2 linked regions of the Drosophila melanogaster genome follow. The protein of the gene in region 1 purifies or fractionates together with the protein of each later gene. This does not show direct contact. Each region holds a gene or a part of one and is shown on either strand. Other genes may lie near its edges. The genes, in order: smg and bard.

Evidence for each region.
Region 2: the proteins of smg (region 1) and bard purify together in Drosophila melanogaster (affinity purification with mass spectrometry, with the first as the bait; one study listed by BioGRID). This does not show direct contact.

The regions. Positions count from the first base shown.
Region 1 is NT_037436.4:8,991,095-8,999,378, reverse strand, and holds the start of smg (smaug), read left to right. Parts: upstream 1-2,284; 5' UTR 2,285-2,525; intron 2,526-2,807; exon of another isoform or gene 2,808-2,897; intron 2,898-3,129; exon of another isoform or gene 3,130-3,317; intron 3,318-3,461; exon of another isoform or gene 3,462-3,656; intron 3,657-3,813; 5' UTR 3,814-3,911; coding exon 3,912-6,280; intron 6,281-6,337; coding exon 6,338-7,298; 3' UTR 7,299-7,335; intron 7,336-7,841; coding exon of another isoform or gene 7,842-7,883; 3' UTR 7,884-8,284. Other genes in the region: CG5087 (uncharacterized protein), read right to left, coding at 1-163, 227-716, 770-924. UniProt on the Drosophila melanogaster protein: Translation regulator that binds to the 3'-UTR of specific mRNAs such as nanos (nos) and prevents their translation. Prevents translation of unlocalized nanos in the bulk cytoplasm via the recruitment of cup.
Region 2 is NT_033777.3:18,079,174-18,083,298, reverse strand, and holds bard (bard), read right to left. Parts: upstream 2,252-4,125; 5' UTR 2,179-2,251; coding exon 832-2,178; 3' UTR 716-831; downstream 1-715.

The sequences.
Region 1 (8,284 bases):
AGATTAAAGCGGGCACAGACAGAATCTCCGACAGAAACTTTGCCAGTAGATTACGACTGAAGTTGCCATCGATCAGGGGACGAAGGCAAAGTGTAATGATGGCCACCAGGGTGACGGGCTTTACAGACAACTCCTCGCGAACAGTGCCGCGTATCAAAACGAGCTGGATGATAATATGGAGAATAACATGAATAAGCTTATTAAAAGAATAAAAGTCACAACATACCCGCATGATTTTGTAAAAATCGTGCTGCACCAGATGACCTTGAATATTACAACAGATTTTTTGCATGGCCGGCTGCAGTTTCTCAAACTGGGCATTCCTGAGTATCGCCCAGGATTTGGGCGCCGTGAAGACTACCAGTGTGTGCAGAAATAGGGCAAGGGACAAGCTGTCGGCATGGTTTTCCGGCTTCAGCTCCGGCAGCAATGTCAGGCAGTTCGTGAGCAGTATCTTGATGTGCGCGATCCAGGGCAGGCTGCGTTCCTTAAAAAGACAGAGGGCGGCATAGGATAGCTTGGTGTTCTCCGACTCCATTGCCTTGATGATGTAACGGCAGATGCGCTCCAGACGCTCCCGTGCACGCACATCGCTCTTGTCCAGCCTGATCTGGGTGAGGTAGCGACGAAGCACCGGATAGACGTTGCTTGCCACGAGTTCCAGTTCCGCATCCTTATCGTCATGATTCTCAGTGAACATGGCATCGAAATCGAGTCTGCAAAACGGGTTACTATTTAGGATGTTCCATAAAAGTAGATAGACACTTACATGATTCGTTTCTGGTACTTCCTACGCGCCGCATATCCCTTGAGCGTGGACTGCAGCAGGATGGCCGCCTGTTCGCGTCGCTTTTCCAGTGCCCGCTCCTCCCGCGCCGCCTTTGTCTGCTCCAGGAAGCTGGCCTTTTGGTTTTGGGCAAACATTTTGCTCTGCAGCAGGTTGAAAGAATTTTGTTGATGATGTATTGTTGTTGACCAGAGCGTTTGTTTTTGTCGGGATTGTGGCCGTTCCGGGATGTATTTATCGTTTCAATCACTTCCTCGAGCTGAACGCTATCCCAGAGCCTTGATTCAGAGCCTCGCTGGATATTTTCTGCATTGCATATCGAGCAAAATGCAAAAAGAAAATATCCTTATTTTGTTCCAATTGGTGGTACAGTGTCACCGTCTCCGCTTACTGTCAAATAACCACAGAAATAGGCCAAAGCGCGGAGATCATTTTTGTTGGCAATTTTCTAGCTAAAACCGTGGTTTGAGTCCGCGCTGCATGAGCACGGCATCGAACCTAGGGCAGCTTTGCTGCTCAACTGAGCGTCCATCACCAAGGGAAAGTAACCGATAACCGCTTGCAAGAAAGATCGACTGTATCGAGTACACATCGATTTTTGTTCCAGCACTAGCAACGCTGCGTTCGCGTGAATAAATAATTAATTAATTGCTGAAAAAATGGATTAGCTGGCGAAACATGCATCCGACCAAGTGCAACAGCAACCGTGCGCAGTACTCAGTAATCGGGCGTTTGTGAGCGTAAGCGCCATGAATTGTGTGTCTAAAAAAAAGTAATGGTTTAGCAAAAACAACAACGCTAAAGCCCAAAAGTGCTAATAAAAAGTACACACATACGCACTCACACAAACGCGCGCGCGAGCAAAGGTGAAAATTATAAATTAATAAATACGCGATCCGATAGCATATCAAATTAGCGAAATATGCTCGTTTCTCGTGCTGATCGAATCAAAACTGTGAATTGCAACAGAAAATAATTTCAAGGTTTGCAGCAGGCGAATAGAAGGCGAAAAGGTAATTGAAAAATAGAACGAATTTTGGCACAAGCGCACTGTAGCTATATATTTTTGTTGTCTGGCCGACCGTGGCTAGGTGGGTGGGGCGTGATTTTGGGGGCCAATCTTGTGTGTTCTGTGTACTGTGCGCTGCTGCTCTGTGTGGTGAAAACAACAAAACCCGCTTACCCCGCAGGAGCCCCACCCCTCTCCCTTAAATGTAATGCATGTAATTTACCGCAATTTTGCCCGTGCATTGCTCAGTGTGTCACTCTCACTCGCACACATACCACTGCCGACGAGCGCAGCAAGGTCTCCGTCTGTGTGTGCGTGTAAGTGAGTGCTCTCCCCATTTTCTTGACAGCAGTAGCAGCATCAGCATCAGCATCAATCCTGTCAGAAAAAAAAGGCGCGCGCTCCTTTTCGCCCGTTTCGCTCTGCCTGCCGCTGCGCTGCTTCTGCAGCTCCACCATTTTCTTTCTAAATCGCTGACGCCAGCGCCAAATCATTCGCCATCAGCCGCTCCTCCTCCGCGGTGCTCCCCACTGCAGCTTCTCGTCTTCAGCTGAGCTTCGCTGTGCTAAACCAATTCTTCTGTTCTGTGTGGTTGGATCTGCAGTTTTGCAGATATAATCAAATTTATTCGCAACGTACATATGTAAATAAAAGCGTTCGGAATATGCCAAGCGCCTGTGATCGCGACTGCTGAAAGGGCAGCCAAAATACGATAATATATAAGAGCGTGTGAGTTTGCAGTATCCTTTACGTTTGCGTGTGTGTGCGTGCTTGCAATCTTTGAACTTTGAACTTTTGTTGAACTTCGGTAATTTTTTTATTTGCAAGCCGGTTAGAAAACAACAGCAATTGCAGTGACGCATAACCTCAAAGATCGACATGCACAAGTACCGTTAGATCGAGTCGCCCCAAACGACTCTTTTGCGCTCCCAGTCTCGCAGGGAAATGTGAAATTTCATATAAAACGTTACGTTAAATAGCAAAGAAGTTAACATCGGTAAATTCCATAGCAGTGAATGTGCTTTAAATGCAGTAATTGGGGCCCGTTATGTTTTACTGCTTGCTCACACACACTAACTTAAGTTGGGGTACCAATACACAGTCAGTTACACTGTCTCTGGCTTAGATTACAGTCAACACTCGATGTCGTAAACCAGGATAAAAAAATAAAATGCAGCAATTTCTCTTAAAACTACATTTTACATTAAAAAATAGATACTTTAATTTTCAAATTTTTTGACTCCCATGCGTTGATTTGTTCAATGTTTTGTGTGCTTACTGTGAAAACACGGCAACAAAAATCGAAGAAAGTCGTCAGAGTAAAAGCAATAATAACAACAACAGCAACGGCGGCAGAAGAAACAAGATTCGAAATGGGCACAAACGAAACTAAATGAAAAGCGCGAAACTGTGCAAAAAAAATACAACCTAACCAAACTTCTCGCCCCCGCTCTACTTTCCCGCCCGGAAATCAAAATCCGAACGCCGCCAAGTCGAAATCAGCGATTTCGTATTTGAAATGTTTGTTATTTTATTGATTTATCGTCCCTCGTCATTTGCGCCATCAAAGCGAATCGAAGGTGTTATATATTTGTTGCTTGTTTATTTGCTTTCCTGATAAGCCAGCCGACCAAGCAAATGCTAATTTCCATTCGTCAATTACAGATAATTGTTGTTGCTATTGCGCTTGTAAATTTAACAAATTAGCGAAAACTGATTTGATTAAATTCGAACGTTATTTGCGGCTTAAAGTTTATTTTATTATCGCTGCACGGCACTCTAATCCCGAGTGGAGCAATGGCGACAAATCCATGGAATAAGGGAGAAGCTATTGATTGGATCACGTGGTTCGGAATTGTGGTATTTTTCTATGGAAGTGATTAGATTGGGCTAAACTAGGCTTTAAGCGAATGATACAGCTCATTGAGCATAAAAAAAATTGTATTACCACAGTCACAAAGTTTAGCTTTACATAATAGTTCAATTATTAATCCTACCCCGTTATCTTTACTTGCAGCAACGCAACCAAATAACCACAAAGAAGCCGTAACAAATACAATACCATAAACTATAGTAAGAACTATCCCCAAAAAACAAGAAGCAACTAACAACGAGATGAAGTACGCAACTGGAACTGACAACGCGATGACCTCCGGCATCAGCGGCCAAACCAATAACTCTAACAGTGCATCCAACGAGATGCAGCCAACCACATCAACGCCTACTGCAGCCCACAAGGAGGCCACATCAACGGCCACGACGACGGCGACATACGCCAATGGCAATCCCAATTCTAACGCCAATCCCAGCCAGAGCCAGCCGTCCAATGCGCTGTTTTGCGAGCAGGTGACCACAGTGACAAATCTCTTCGAGAAGTGGAACGACTGCGAGCGAACCGTCGTGATGTACGCGCTGCTCAAGCGGCTGCGCTACCCGAGCCTCAAGTTTCTACAGTATTCTATCGACAGCAACCTGACCCAGAACCTGGGCACCTCCCAGACCAATCTGAGCAGCGTGGTTATTGACATCAATGCCAACAATCCGGTGTACCTGCAGAATCTACTCAACGCCTACAAGACGTTCCAGCCATGTGACCTGCTCGACGCCATGTCCTCCTCGTCGTCCGACAAGGACTCGATGCCATGCTACGGCAGTGACTTCCAGATCACCACATCGGCGCAGTGTGACGAGCGGAAGCTGTATGCCCGCAAGGAGGACATTCTGCATGAAGTACTGAACATGCTGCCTCTGCTGAAGCCGGGCAATGAGGAGGCCAAGCTTATCTACCTGACCCTTATACCAGTTGCCGTCAAGGACACCATGCAGCAAATTGTGCCCACGGAGTTGGTGCAGCAGATCTTCTCGTACCTACTCATCCATCCAGCTATCACCAGCGAGGACAGACGTTCGCTCAACATTTGGCTGCGTCACTTGGAGGATCATATCCAAGCGGCTGCGGCGGGCCTGACAAATCGCAGTTACTTCCTGCAGCCCTCGCCGCAACTGGTCGCTGGTGGTAGCTCAACAGGCAGTGGTAGCTGTTCCTCTTCGGCGACCAGCTCTTCGACAGCATCCTGTTCGTCGGTGGCCTCATCCTCGTTGTGCCCCGCAAGCGGCAGCCGTTCCTCACGCACCAACGACTGGCAAACGATCGCCCCGCCCAGCAAGCAATTGCAAAACAAATTGGCCGGTGATTGGCGTGGCAATGGAGGCGGCAGCTCCAGCGGGTCGATCAATCCACTCTGTGATAATCTTAATGGTATTACCCTGAACGAATTAGCTTCTAGTCAGAACAGTCTCGGCCTGTCGCTGGAGGGCAGCTCTTCCCTGGTCAACGGTGTGGTCGCTGGTGCAGGCTCTATGTTGGGAATCGCTGGTGGCGACGATCATGACACGTCATTTAGCAAGAATGGCACGGAGATTCTCGATTTTGACCCGGTGACGGCGGACATGGGTGAGGCCTGTAGTCTGGCCAGCAGTAGCCTTTGTGGACGTAACGGTGGAAATCCTGTTGAGGATCGATCGCAACCTCCGCCGAATCTTCAGCAGCAATTGCTTCAGCCTCCTCCCTATGCCTCGATCCTTATGGGAAACGTGGGCGATCAGTTTGGAGAGATCAACCGGTGGAGCCTGGACAGCAAGATTGCAGCCCTGAAGACGCGGCGCTCTAACAGCCTCACCACGCAAACGATCTCTAGCTGTTCCAGCTCGTCTAACTCATCGGTGATCACGGTCAATGACAACTGCTCCAATTCAACGGAGAATCTGGCACAGTTTGCCAACAAGCCCCGTAGTTTTTCCTTATCGATTGAGCATCAGCGCGGCGCCTTGATGAACAGCGGTTCCGATACTCGTCTGGATGAATTCAAGCCCAATTATATTAAGTTCCACACGCGCAACGTGGGCATGTCGGGAATCGGACTCTGGCTAAAATCCTTGCGTCTGCACAAGTACATCGAGCTGTTCAAGAACATGACGTACGAGGAAATGCTCTTGATCACCGAGGACTTTCTGCAGAGTGTTGGCGTCACCAAGGGCGCCTCCCACAAGCTTGCCCTTTGCATTGATAAGCTGAAGGAACGGGCCAATATTCTTAACCGGGTAGAACAAGAACTGCTATCGGGTCAAATGGAGCTGAGCACGGCGGTTGAGGAGCTAACAAATATTGTGCTGACACCAATGAAGCCACTGGAGTCTCCAGGACCACCGGAGGAAAACATTGGTCTGCGTTTTCTTAAGGTCATTGACATTGTGACCAATACGTTGCAGCAGGATCCGTATGCTGTCCAAGACGACGAGACTTTGGGTGTGCTTATGTGGATTCTAGACCGCTCTATCCACAACGAGGCATTTATGAATCACGCCAGTCAACTCAAGGACCTGAAGTTTAAGTTGTCCAAAATGAAGATCTCCATGGTTCCCAAAATGCATCACGTCAAGCCAGCCGGCGTCGGGCCAAACAATGGGAACATTAACAAGCCAAGGTAAGGTTTTCAATAAGATAAAAAGTAATGCATTTTAAAAATGAGCTGTTATTTTAGATGGAATGGTAAGACTCGCAAATGCGATACTAAAAATGGCAGCAACGATAGGATTAACAACCGCAAAAACTCCAACGACATGCTAAACTTTTCGCTAAATTGCCTGCCACACCCGCTGCCCCATCATTCGCAGCAGGCTCCGCCGCCTCTGCCACAGTTTGACTACAACGGCTATGGCGGCGGTCCATCCCATCAGCCGCAGTACAAGAGCTCCTCGTACCCAAGCTTCATGGGTAATCCTCAGCAGCAGCCACCACCGCCGCCGTCTAGTAAGTCGCATCATCATCCCCAGCAGATGCAACAGATGTTGCAGCAACACAACCACTTTCCAGCGCTGCCTCAGCAGACGCCACCACAATCGCATCGCCGGTCGCTGAATAATCTTATTCTGGTGGCCGGAGGTCCGCAGCAACCGCAGCAATTGATCTTTAAGCCCGGTCAGGGAGTGCTCACCAACAACGGATCTAACGACAACCTGGTATTGGAACGCAATCAGCAGTCGCAGCAGCAGCAGCAGCAGAGAAAACTTAGCGGAGGAGTGTCCAGTGCGGAGCAACAACCAAAGAAGACCATGGCCGCTGTTGTGATGGTTAGTAATCCAAACCAGAATCAGGACCAGCACGATCAGCCCCAGATCCTGATCAACAACAATAATAACAACAGCATGCTGAACAACAATTTGATTAACCAGCAACAGTTGCAACTTTTGGCAGCAGCTGCTGCCGCCGTGGGCAGTGGCAGCTGTCTGTGCTCCAATGGTGGTGGTGGTGCCTGTGTCCACAATATCTGTCACCAAAGCAGCAAGAACAACAATCATGGCGTAGACCATTGCCTGTCCCAGTCACCGTTGGGCAGCCTGGGCATGTCGCCCCACGTCACCGAGTACAAGATGAACGACTTTAAGAGCCTAGAACAGCTGGAGACGTTGTGTCGCCAAATGACTGAACAGGCAATGAACTGAGCAAGATTCAGGGCTATCTGGGTTTTGAAATCATCATGTAATGGCGTTAGATTTGAGGCTGCCAGCTGTTTTTGTGTTCATTTAGCTTTGAGCCGTGTTTGATGTTTGATTTCATAACGAACATAAATGTTTTTATATTTAGATATTTAAGATTCGTGTCTATTTTTGTGTCGCGTCAAGTTGTCCACCCTGCGTCTCCTTTCACATCCCGTTCTGTAATCGTTTTTAGTTAGTAAGACGATAGTTTGTTTTAATGTTAAGTTTATTAACTGTATGCCAAGGCGCCCCCAAAGATATGATCAATTGACTCGGGCTCGCAGGACCAACGGCTGGCCGATGAACTTGTGGAGCCCATGCTGCACTCCCCGACGGTAATCCCATGTCGGTTGTCAGCGGGGGCGTGGCATCTTACTGTCAATGTTATTAATGTATAGGTTTCGTAAATGTTGTCGCCATTTATGTAGTTAAACTAACAAGCCAAGCCCCACAACACACACACACACAGATCGCAACAACAGAATACAGTAACTTCTCTCTACCTAGGAAAATTTGGCCAAATTTGATCAACATTTTACGCTATTCTAAACCCCAATCACAACATCAACTATTTCATTCACTATCAACAACGTCGCCAAATGAAAGAAATACCCCGATCTGAACGACGACGAAAAATGGTTTATCTAGTAAAAAATTATAAAATGAACTCTGCATCGTGACCATGAGACTGACTAAGATTACTTTTCGCAACTATAAAAACTAGAAGGAAGAAAGCTGGATGGAGAGGGAATTGAAAAGTGAGAATTGAGAAACGAGAGCTGATAATTGTTTGCGCGAATCAAAACTAGGCTTGCTGAATGAAGTAGTAGTCACATAATGAATATGTTTATATATACACGTACACATAATTTATTTTAAATTAAAAGGAACATATTTGCTGAACCGTAACTGCACCAGAGGAAATCGCAACGGCGGAAACTACCACTAGA
Region 2 (4,125 bases), on another chromosome or scaffold:
AAAGTTATGTAAATCATTCAGCCAGGCGCACATTTTTTCAAAATTGCTTAATTTCCTTCACGTGCAAGTACGCATGGGATAGTTATCGTTTATAGTAGATATGTTATGGGATATTATGTTATAATCCAGAAGGCTAGACTACCCTGTGATTATCCTTTCCGATCGGAAACCTCATAAAACAAAGTTTACATATTCATTATGGAATAACCAAAATATTAACAATTACACACAAATTATAGTTAAACATCTATAATCTAGCTTATTTGAAAGCAGTTGTATTGCGCCAACCCTGAAGTAAGAGAGCCAAATCCCCAATGCCATGCCAAACTTCACTTCTTTTGGCCAGTTGGCCAATGGTCAGGAGTTTCGGTGATCGGGGAACTGAGCCGGACAGTCGGCAAAGAGCTTTGGGCACTTTGCGAACTCATTTTCCGACTCAATCAAATCAAATAATTTATGCCTCGCGAAATTAACTGGCCATGTGAGTGGAGGTCATGCCACATGTGAGGAGAGTCCAAGAAGCCATGACGGCAACTTGGGGCCCAAAGCACAGTTAAATCTTTTCGCTGGCCATAAAGTGTGTTGATTTTTCCATTTGCCAGACCCTAAAGCGCTGCAATGCGAAATAAATAAATGTTTGCCGTTGAAGGAGAGACCTCTTGGAAAATTGCCTGCAATCGGGGAGTGTTTGAGAATGAAAATGTGCGTTGCTTTTGATTTAGCCAGTGCGTCTTATTTATATACAATAGAAAATATAAAAAATTACAAAATTCATGAAAAAAAATATTTGTTTAGGAGTATATACAATTGGTAAAATTGTTGAGCTGTTATTCACTCAAAATCAAACTCGAAACCATCCTCCTGATATTCGTATTCGCTGCTGTCACAGGTGACCTGAACATATTTGTTGCTCTGCCAGTGATAATATTCCTCGGGTGTGAAGTTGCCCCACATCATGTCGCTGAACACCTGCAGTGGTCTGGGATTCCTTTCCTGATTGCGAATATTCACGAGCTTAGTAAGTTTCTCCCAGTTGCTGTGGTAGCCGTTCAGAGCCAAGTGCTCCAGATTGACGCACTCGGCGACCAGTTCCAGGAGCTGAGTCTCCCGCACAATCTCCCAGCCACTGAAGCTGAGCACCTCCATTTGTTGGCAGGGCATGTGCTGGCGATCCAGGAAGAAATCATTGTGGCACCAATTCTCGCATATCACCTTCCTCAGCTTGGGCAGTTCGAGGAGCAAACTTTGCTGCCACCGAGCTGGCAATTGAACCACTTCGTTGTTCAGGGCAATTCGGGTGATCCTTTCGCTTTTGGCCACCACAATCTGCTGGAAGATGGTCTCCTGATCTGCGTTCAATTGCCGCGAATCATCGAATCGCACGGATAGTTTCTGTAACTTGGGCAACTGCAGCACCTCCGATAGCATGCATTCTACGGTGCTCAAGTTGATTTTTAGCACTTCCAGATTGGGCAATTTGATGTCTGTGAGTCTCACACAACTGTCGAACTGATCGGTAATGTCAAGGACTCTCAAATTGGTCATTGTCAGACAGATATCCTGAATCCAGCGGCTATCCAATGGCACCGAATGGTACAAGGAGTTGAATACCAGCTCCTCCAACTTCTTGAAGCCACGCATATATAAGCCAGATAGATTCATGCAGGTCATTAGGCGCTTGAGATTGGGCAACATTACCGTCAAGTCGCGGATGTCCTCATCGACCACTGTGTTGGGATTGCCCGCCAATATGCAAGTGTCCACCTTGGGAAACTTGGTGATATTGATATCGCACAGGTGTGTGATATAGTCGTAGAATTCAGAAAAGGAACCAACGCCGTCGTGAACGTGCAGATCCGTGAAGCTATCAGCCATGTGTTCCATAAAGAAGACATAGTCATCGATGTCCAGGAGTCCAAGGAATGGTGTATTTGGACCGATGATCAGGTGCAGTCGCCTCTGCCAGAACTTGAGAATCTGTGGCATGAACTGTGGATAGGCCCTAGCCATGCGTACCTGATCGATCAGATTGTCGATCTCTTCGAAAATCTGCTCGAAAAATATAATGTGCAGGTTGTCGATGTAGTTCGGTTCAATTTCCTCCATCGGTGAACAGGTATTATTTTGCTGGGCAACCAGAGCGTCCTTGTAGAATGCGGTATTGTGCATTTGCGACATTGTATGTATTGTCTGTCAAATGTGATGACTGCTGTGTGTTGCTTCCTCGAAGGCTGCTGTTGGTTGAATGTGCTCTTGTTTTGATGAATCTAAGTTTTTATGCAAATTTAGGTAGTGCATTTAGTGAGGGAGTGAATCAGGTAGTAGTGGGGAAGGATTACCCAGTGTCCTTATCTCTTTTGCAGGCTAATCCTTTGGCAACAGCTGTGCCAGCTTTCAGTAGTAGTTACCTGTAGTTACCTGATCTGTAGGATCGCGCCATGATCGCGCCGGTCCTCATAAATTGCGCCGTCGTATACTGCCTGCAATTTGTAAGCCTGCGCTGTTGTTGTTGCTGCAGAAAAAAAACCCTATCTGTACAGTTATCGCTAGAGAGACTCACTAGTTTGCATATTACACGAACCCAGACGTGTTCCCAGCCAACTTCTCTAGCAACTGCCCTGTTCCAGTCCAGAATCTTGGCCGGATGCGTTGGACAAAACGTGGTCAGCATTCGGCTTTGCCTGGCTTGGCTTCTAGGAAATGCTAACAACTCTCGCAGAGGAATCGTAAACGAAGAACAGTCCCACCAAATGGAATAGAATAGAATGGAATGGATTCTGTGCGAGCTTCAACGATCTAATAATCAAAGCCATGTGTTTTTGTCTGGCAGCTTAGCGAGCGATTAGAGGAATCACAATCACAGAAGACACTGAAAAAGAAACTGCACAGTTTATTATCCGAAGAAATACATTTTCTTTTAAAGATACAGTGTTAGAATTATCTTTATATTAAGGGAGAAACGTAGCTGATGAAAACTGTCGAAGCGATTAAAAGCGAATCCTTTTCACTAAAGTATGTCCAAGGAATATATATGTTAAAAGTAAATGTTATAAGATCACAAACCTTTGTTAATAATATATTTAACATATAATAAATTGAAAAAATCATATATAGGAAAGTAAAATATAAAAATATCAAAAATTGAGGTACATTCTTAGTTTGATTTCCTTTAAAATCTAGTAAAATTTTGCTAGGATAGACTTAAGTACAATTATTAAATAATTTTTGTGAGTGTTGAAGAAGGTTCACACCGTTTCCCGGACAAACTTGTACAGTTGCCCTGCGTTTCCCATTGATAATTCTTGGATACCCTCTGTTGTCAATTGTCATTGGGTTGGCTTTTGTCCAGGGACTAATGGCATTGTTGTCAGCCTTGTGTGCGTCTATGGCCTGTCAAAGCATAAAACTGGGCAACAGACAATGCTGACAATCTTGAGCGGGGAGCCAACTTCTTAATGTAGATATAATGCACATTTCTATTTTGGCCCGGTTGGTGAAAATATTTTCATTTGTTCATATTTTTCAACAACTTTGTTGGCTACACCTCAAATCTGATGTTTATGAATTCTCAGCGACTCTGTTTTCTTCTTTTGGGAAAACGTTGCTTCACACGAGATTTGGAAAACGGGTTGGGGTATATCTCTGATGCAAATGCACTTGTCTCTGGTATTCGTTTTTTTCGGCTATAATATACTTTTTTTTTTTTTTTTGGTTGGTCTCTGTTTGACTGTCTTATCTGAGATCAGTGTCGATCAAGGCAGCAGACGAATTGGGAAACATGACATACCGAAGTATGTGTATGTATGTGTATATGTATGAGGGACTCGAGACTGTTTTAATAATTTTGACGTAATCACATCACAACAATCTACCGTGGAGGCTGTTGGCTTTTGACTTTTCCTGACTCCCAAGTGGACAGTTCTTTTTAGCCTCGATCTCTGCCTGATTTGTTCATTTAAATGAATTACAATATTTTATCTTTACACAGAGATCGTTGGAGCTTAAAACGCTGTTCACATACATATCTCCTTTGCATTATTTGCAGGTAAATAAAAATGAAAAAGTTGAGAACTTTCCAAGCATCATCTGCCTGAAATTCCTATAGCCATAAAAACCGGGACGGCA